Linked DNA regions of Drosophila melanogaster. Changing the gene in region 2 together with the main gene of any one other region gives a genetic interaction. Each region holds a gene or a part of one and is shown on either strand. Other genes may lie near its edges. The genes, in order: trpl and Xport-A.

Region 1 (5,133 bases), on a different chromosome or scaffold from region 2:
ATGCTACTTACTGTCTGTTTGCTTCTGGGACTGCCATCGCCAGACACACTCAGATCCACTGGAAAGTATTAGGAAAAGCTGTGAAGCTCAACAGAAAGATATAGAATTATGTTTAATTGCACTGGAAAATATTAGGAAAAGCTGAAAAGATCTACAGAAAAATAAAGGAAACTTGTTACCAATTGATTTATACTTTTTTGAGTTGCTGTTCTCCATTATTTATTTGCAGATTTAGATAGCACACAAACTTAGATGTCTTCGAAGTAATAAATTCATACTTAATTTATGTATTATTTATTATAAAATAGTTTATTTGTTAAGTGATTTTCAAAAATTTCGAGTGTATTACTAAAAGCCACGTGGCCAAAACAAGAAGATATAGCACAAAAAAAAGACAGGGGAAGTGCCAGATATATCGCAACGCGGCCAGAGAATCGGGAGATTGGAGCCAGGACGAACCTTAAAGGATGCTTTTACTCCGAACTGGAGCTCTTCGCCCACCGCATGCAGCTTGATAAAAGACGCAGTCATGGTAACCCACCTGCCACACCCGCCTCCTGCTCCTGCTCCACTCTTTTCCGCCCGAAAACCTCATCTGGTGTTTGTTTGTTTGTTTGGCTTCGCCTGTTTACGTGCAGTCATGCGAAGCTCCGGCCCAAACCTCGACTTTTCAGCTGATGCTGGAATCTGCTTCAATTGTTGTCTGTCGCCAAAGGATTCCCCTCATCCCTGCCCTCCTCGGCAGCCCAACAACCCGCTATGCTCCATCTCATCAAAATCCATTTTAAGATTTTTGATTTAATTCCGCCTTTGTTTGGCAAGTTGGTTACTGCTCATGCCCTCTGTGTATCTAGAGTTTAGATTTGCCTGGGCAAATTTGTTTATGCCCGTCAAAAGGCTGACTCTGCCGGAGACATATGAACATGTGAAGGACCCTCTTGGACTGTCTAGCAGTTCGTTGTATCCCAATTGAAGTGGAGCAGCCAGTGGAACCAGGAACCCTTTTCAATAGCAAGTTGAAAATGAAACAAACTATTGAAATAACACAATCATAGGCTCTTTAGGTTTACTTGAAATCAGTTTAATGGGTATCAGCATTTGAAAAAATTCGGTACAAGTGAAAAATTAATTAATTGAATTCAAACAATTACAAGTATTATGCTGCGTTACGATGAAATAATTGCAATATAAAAAAATTAGGCAATGAAAACACTAGTAGTAGATTTCAGATTTATAGCAAGTGTATAATGGTAGAAGGAGCAGTAGATTTATATGCAAGATGTTTCGAGTCGCAGCTATTAACATATATTGAAAACAGCAGCTAATCAATGTCAATCGAACTGCAGGCTAAACTGAAATTTTCCAAATCAAATTACGCACGCTGCATTGGGCAGCACGAAAGTATCCGCAAATGTGCAGCAGTTTGTGGCCGGAAAAGAGCCCGAAGAGCAAGTGGCAAACAATAGCTGTAGCAACCCAAATCAAATCATGGCAAATTAGTTGTAATTCAATTGCCGACAGTCGCCGTCTGGATCGTGGCCCCCACCTCCACCACCAGTCCCACCTCAGCACCAGCCCCTACATATGTTTGGGTCCTAATCCCCTTAGGCGAACTTGGCGAAAACTTGTTGATACTGTGTTTCAGCCCTCGACCTCCACAATTCATAACACCACAAACGTATATATAAACCTATAGAAATATATATATATATATATGTGTGGATAAATGTTGCACGGACAACCTCCAGGCGTATCCATGCGATGGGTGACAAATATTTGACGTTTTAGTCTAATTAAATTAGCCACATCGCCGCTCGGCCCTCGGGAAAGGTATAAATTTCTGCGCGTTAGTAGCAGCGTGTAAATTTCGCAGGTGGCACACGTTCGGGCTGCGTCGCGGGTTGTCTCTCGGCGGGTTTTCGCCTTCAAAAGAGCTGAAATTCAGATATACATAAACTACAACACACATTGTACGGGAATTCGGGAGTTCGGTGGCCAAACGTATTGTTATAAAGTATATGCCAGCATACAATTCATAGTCGCAGTCCTCTCACCTAAGCCGGTCACATGAAATTCCAACGTCCATTGTGCCAGCGAGTCGAACAATTGCACACGTTTTTATGTGCCGGAATGCAAGAAGTACGTATCCGTACGCTTGGTTATAAGTGGCTTAAGTGCAGTCCGTGAGCCAACTGAATTACGTGGCTATATCCTTCATTCATTGTGCTCCTGGTTGCTCCTGACTGCTCCTGGTTGCTCCTGGCAGCTGCAGGTTGCTCCTACCTCTTCCGTTGATTGTCAAGTTGGGGCTGTGTGTGCGGAGCTTGTGGTCTGTGACTGCTGGAGTTTCGATTCAACTGGCTGCCATCGCGATAAGCCCTTCGTTTTTATGAACTCTGTAAAATACTCAAAATTTGTTCTAGTTTTAATGAACTCCAGTGCGCTTGCGACAAAATTATGATACTTCGATCGGTGCCAGGCAGAATTAACACATCTCGGCTGCAGAGGGAGAAATTAGAGTGAAATATCATATGCATTTTACATCGTATGTTAACCGAATAGTTTATACTTGTTATAATATATACAGGTGCAGATATAATCCCATTTCGATGGGCAGTCGCAGTATGCACCTGCTGTGCAGGTGAACAGCTATAAATCCATTTATAAACGCTTCCCATGAAGTGGCGGATAAAACCGAATTTATTGCGACATTTTTATGTCCGTCCGCATTTTCGCCCGTCCTCCGCACTTATATTTCTATTAAGTTAATTAAACAATGCACCATCGGGGCTCCTGGGGTAGTCAGAACCACCTTTTGTTGGTACCGGAAGTGTTTTTTATGGAACAACCGCCATGATGATGGTTCCGAGTTTTTGCCTGCCGCGCATACAAAGCACTTGCATTTTTTATGACCAGCCCAAACACTTTTAAATGCATCTGCAGCATCCGCATCCATATCCGCATGCAGATCCGCATCCGCAGGAGCATAAAGCCAGTTTAAAGCAAAAGCATGTAGACGGAATGCATTTTTTCTTTGCGGATTATCGAAAAAAGCTCCTTAAATATTCATTTTGGCATTGTGTTCACACATGCGGAGGAAGGCAGCGGAAAATAAAAATATTTTCATCGGGTGTGGGAAAATATTGGGAAACAAAGAAATTAATTCTAATGGGAGAAACGATTGGCGATGATGTGAACAATCCAATGAGAGCAGCAACAACTAATACAAACTGCAGTTCGTTGCTAATGAGATGAGTGCAATAAAAATGTAAATCAAAACAGAAAGCCGATTGAACAATTGGTCATAAGTGGTGCAATAAGTGCTCGCGAATTTGGTGTTCAGTGTGGCCTTTGGAATTGACCAGTAACAGTCGGGAAACAGTGAAACTGCACAGTGTCTAATCAACTCACTAAATTGGCAAAACTTAAATCTTGCCCATGCAGATGGCACTTAAAAAGGGTTTAGCCAGCTCGGTCAGTGGCGGAAATAAAAAGAAAAACATTATAAACAGCTTAAATAGAAACTTTTTGCACGCCGGAAACCAGAAACCATAAACCAAGTCAAAAACCACCAGACACACACACACACACACCAACACACACAAGCACACCCAGTTGGACATATAACTATGGACTATACAACTATGAGTACAAAAGCAAAATCAACTTGAAAGTTGCATGTGGCCCGGCTTAGTATTGGACTTTTTTGGCTTTGCCATTGTGTATATAAATATATATGCCATATATGTAAATATCGTTCACTTTTCACTGCAAGTGTGCAAAGCCCTGCGACATGAAGTCGGATTTTGAACTCTGAACCCTGGACTTGGTACATGGAATACTAGTTACGAACTGCTGGCGTTCGGTTAAGTGAAGTGCACTAACTCTAGAATGGGTCGCAAAAAGAAGCTGCCGACGGGCGTAAGTAGAAACCCATCCAGGATCCCGATCCAGATCCGTATCCAGCAAGTAGCATGTCTTAAAGCCGCCAGTATTAGCTAAACGCCGCTTACCTTAAACGCCTCCAATGCCATTTAGATGGAAGCCAGACAATCAGCCCAGCATCCTCCACTTTGCACTTAATTTTCTTGTATGTTTATTTTTTATTTATTTGCAATTCCGCATACACGATTTCCCCCTCGCCACATCGGCATGTACGTATGTGGCTCCTGCTCACCTGTCTCTTTAAATTATGCCAGGTATCGTCTGGCGTCAGCCACGCCTCCTCCGCCCCCAAATCGGTGGGCGGGTGCTGTGTGCCGCTGGGATTACCACAGCCTCTGCTGCTCGAGGAGAAGAAGTTCCTGCTGGCTGTCGAGCGCGGCGATATGCCGAATGTGCGCAGGTGAGTAGCGCTTTTCACGCCTCCGATGCCCAGCAGGGAGGGGGGGGGGGTGGGTGGTGTTTCTGTATGGCATCTTGGGCGGGAGGGATACACTGCAAGAAACTCTTACCACAATCAGGTGTTGGATGAGCATTAGTATTCAAAGTTAATGTACAAGCTTAGCTAATGAATGTATCAATCGAGTAGAACCTAATGTATATTGATATATTTAGCCTTCAATTTAAAAGAAATAGTTAAACACACTACCACATTTATCCGAGTGTAGGGTGTTCGAATAAAAACCCTGACATTTTTAGAGGGGTATCACGAGCTCCAATGGTGGCTTCGCCCAGGGTAACACAGGTGTTGACTGGGCTGGGTCGCACAGGTACCATAAATCCCATCGGGAGCCTCCTTGGGTTCTTTGGATGCGGTGCTGGTGGTGGGTTCAATTATTTGCACACTCGTCTGCCGCGGGCCTCAAAATGGTTACCTAACTGGCATCCCGGCAGCCACTTAATAAGCAATATGAGGCCTTCGACCCGGATACTTTACGCTCGTTTACGGCTTTGCTTTAACAAATGTACGATTAATTCCGTTTGCTGGCAATGAATAAGAGATAAGCCAAATTATCCAAATACTTTTCGGTTGCCACTTAAAGCTGTTAACATGCACAATCAATTCGAGAAACGAATCTTATTGAAAAGCAACTTTTCGGATAACTTAAGTTCCCTTACCTGAAAGCACAACTAAACCTTACTTTTTGTTGACATCCCAGGATGTCATTTATGAACAATTCTTTATTGTTT
Region 2 (3,518 bases):
ATAAAATATACATAAAAAGATAAATATGATTTTGCCCGAGAGGCATTTGTCTTTGTATTTTATTGTTTGTGAAGTTAATTTTACGAAATTGGCTAAAGAGTGGGTGCGCGTAGTGTATGTTAGAATGTGGATCTCTTATGAAATTGGTAATACCTAGCTCTTAATCACATACTGACCTCCTTAAATCAAATGATACTTAAGATATCTTCAGCTTTGTGGTATCTTCAAAACTCTACACTTTGTGCCACAAAACGAATACCTGAACACAAGCGATTTGTAGACAGCACTTATTATAAACCAAATGGCATAACTTCCAAGTCAAATACCTAACTACTTTATATCTCCATATAACTATTTTTCACGAGATGCTTCAGATGCAAACTAGCAATGACCAGATCTGGATTGAATAGAGCTTACTTACAGACCAAATCGATATATATTCCATGATATTTATAGAGATTAGTATGTTTATAAAGTTTTGTGAATAGGTTAGTAAGTGAGCTAATGCTGGAGACACACGAATATATTCTGCAAACATTTAAATAAAAAAGCTGAAAACCACAAGTTGGATAAATATTTCTATTGTTGTTCATAATGGTGGGATACAATGTAGAATTCGAATGTAGAGAGCAAGACAATTAAGTATGCAATACGGTTAGTAAGATATTTTATTCTACGAAACTCATATAAAACACACTAAGTATAATTGATACCATATATAATTAATTATAGGATGGGCTATCTTATGTTGCTCGTAACTAGGCAAACATCGAATGGTGGTAGAGTGCCGGTAATCTCCAAGAATCGTCGAAGGATGTGGCAATAGGTGTTTCCCATGGGCGGAGATTCAGTTCCTTCCGCCGGAATTCTAGCCACCTCGTCCGGAGTGTCCAGCTCCCTAACATAATCCATAAAGTTGTCCACATTGATGGGTGTCTCTGCCCTCGTCTTTGCTGGTTCCGTCTGCAACTTTCGCTGGAACTCACTTCTGTAGTAGTCGTTGATCATGGACATCATCCCCTTGGAATACCAGTAGATGATGCCAATCAAGAATAGGCCCTGCATGAATGGACCGACCATATTGTATGCTTCCACTTGATTTACTTATTTGTTCGATAGATCCTTTGGTTTCTACTGCTGATGCTCCTCGCGGAAGCTTTCAAGCCATTGATTAACCATGTAGAATTGCTCCTTGATGTGCGGCCAGGCCATGGTGACAATTAGCATTATGGTATTGGCGAAGACAAAGAGTTTCATCATTTCAAATGCTATTGGAAAGGGGTAATATTTATTAGTTAAATGAACTATATATTTTTAAGGAGCGAAAATTACAGACCCTCCGGAGTGCGAAGATAGTCGCCGAAGCCGGAATTTAGATCCTTGTCATCCTTCTCGTCCACCTTCTGCTCATGCTTATGCTTATCCTTCTCGTCTCGGCTCTTGCCCTTACCACCACCCTCGACTTTATCCTTGCCAGAGTGTCCTTTACCGTGCTTGTTCCTGCCGTATCCCGTGGATGAATTGGCAAAGGCCGATTTCTTCGGCTTCATTGCATCCAGATAGCAGCAGTTGGTCGGTCAGCCTGCACAGCACTGCATTTGATTGGAGTTGGTCCTGGAAGTGCTCTCCGCCTGGTGCTTCCTCGCCAACTGCTGCTCCGCAAATGACACAAACTTTGTGGTGCCAATTGGCGTGGCGCCGCTTCTGGCAATTTTATGGTTTCCATTTTATTGATTTGCGATTTCTGCTTGTCGCTCTGGCTGGGTGGGAATGGTGGGACAGGTGACCAAATAGAAATATGTTGTTAGTGGAGCAATGCGCTTGGATATTTAGCCGGGCATGTGTACTTATTATACCAGTCACACGAAATGTGTGTCAACTTGGTGGATGAAGGTGGTCGCCGGTAGGGTTGGTGTTTGTGGGTTTACATTGGTCCCAAATGGCTCTGGTTCCTGAAAGCTTATTTAAATATCATGCAAACCAGTTTTAATTTATTTAATGCCTTATTCTGCCAAATAGTTTATAATAGTTTTGCATTGATCTAATGTAAGCTTTACATTTTAAACAAACTACGTGTAGATGCCGAACTTTTGATTTATTCCCAAAAGTATGCAACCCAATATACATATTCGATTCGCGATAAGCGAATGTTTAATGAGCTAAATTCGAATACTGTTCGCGAATACTTGACACACACTACAACTAACTTATCAAATACGCCCAGACATATATTAAGTATACGTTATTACGTGAACGCAATAAGTTGCTGTCCCTTGTTTACCACAGCTCCGACCGGTGGCTGCTCCTTGTCCCGCGTGACCAGGCAACATGTGCCAAGGCCGCCCAGGATGACCAGCAGACAGAAGGCGGACAGGGAGAGGGCGGGGCTCACCTGCCTGAGCAGCGTGAGAAAAGAGGCGGAGAGCTGCCACACCCGCGCCCACGTGACGGCGGAGAAGGAGAGGCAACTACGCTGCTCCATTGGCACCAGTTCGCCCAGGCAGGCCAAAATCATGGACTGGGCGCAGGCTACGGCCGCCTGGGGAAGTGATGCCATTAGCAAGCCCAGCGTCAGTCCATACACCTCGGGCATATCCTCCTCGGCCAGGAACCAACAGATGCTACCGATGCAACCGACCACGATGGCAAATCCCCCCGCCCACTGCCACTTGCGTTCACTCAGGTTGAAGGTCAGGTGTAGGGCCAGGAAGCAGCCAAGCATCTCGGCCAGGCCCATGGCCAGTGTGTTGGACACCAGGTGCTCCCTGCCAAAGGACCGCACATGGAGCAGCAGCCCAGTGTTGACCACCATGAAGGTGGCAAGTGCCATGTGCACGGCCACCAAGTGGAAAGTACTCCTACGCTGGCCCATCCACAAGTGCATCCAATGCACGGCGGGCATTGGCTCCAGCATCCTTTCTCTCAGCTCCTCCAACTGCTGGGGTAACTCCTTGGACACTTTGTGCATTCTACCATTGGTACGGGCTGCTTCCAGCAGGATACCCACCGTTCGCTCGATGGCCAGTTGAGCTTCCTTGGTGTGTTGCAGCTGCCAGCGCGGTGAGTCCGGAGTCCAGGGTAGCAGAAAGACAATCACCAGCAAGGAAAGAGTTACGCCCAAGTATATGTGCTGCCAGCTGGGAGCATTGGAGGCCAAGCCAGGGAGCAGAATCAAGCCCAGAGCCCAGAAGCAGTCGTAAAGTATGAGGGTTCCTACGCGATATTTTCCCGCTGTTATGTCACCAACTGAAAAGTAGGTTATTTAATATTAAAGTATTCTTAAATATTCAATTTTACTTACATATATACTGCCCCGAGGTGATCATAAAACAGCACGAAACAGCAGCCAGGCATCGGAGTCCACAGTGCAGACTGAAGTCTTTGACAAGACCCATCAGTAGGCTGCACATGAGCAGGCACCAGATGCCAGTTCTATAAATCTGTCGGGGACTCAGGACCCGCATCAACTTGGTGGCCGCCACGCCACCGATTAGGAGGCCAAAGAGGTGCCAGTACTG

Evidence for each region.
Region 1: of Xport-A (region 2) and trpl, changing one enhances a phenotype caused by changing the other (phenotypic enhancement), as found in Drosophila melanogaster (2 studies listed by BioGRID).

Annotation. Positions count from the first base shown.
Region 1 is NT_033778.4:9,751,839-9,756,971, forward strand, and holds the start of trpl (transient receptor potential-like), read left to right. Parts: upstream 1-1,858; 5' UTR 1,859-2,001; exon of another isoform or gene 2,002-2,139; intron 2,140-3,775; 5' UTR 3,776-3,891; coding exon 3,892-3,921; intron 3,922-4,199; coding exon 4,200-4,345; intron 4,346-4,454; exon of another isoform or gene 4,455-5,133. UniProt on the Drosophila melanogaster protein: A light-sensitive calcium channel that is required for inositide-mediated Ca(2+) entry in the retina during phospholipase C (PLC)-mediated phototransduction. Required for vision in the dark and in dim light. Binds calmodulin.
Region 2 is NT_033777.3:19,913,745-19,917,262, forward strand, and holds Xport-A (exit protein of rhodopsin and TRP A), read right to left. Parts: upstream 1,669-3,518; 5' UTR 1,551-1,668; coding exon 1,337-1,550; exon of another isoform or gene 1,333-1,336; intron 1,269-1,332; coding exon 1,132-1,268; 3' UTR 1,081-1,131; coding exon of another isoform or gene 739-1,080; 3' UTR 652-738; downstream 1-651. Other genes in the region: Xport-B (exit protein of rhodopsin and TRP B), read right to left, coding at 739-1,080; CG4465 (uncharacterized protein), read right to left, coding at 2,246-3,246, 3,302-3,518.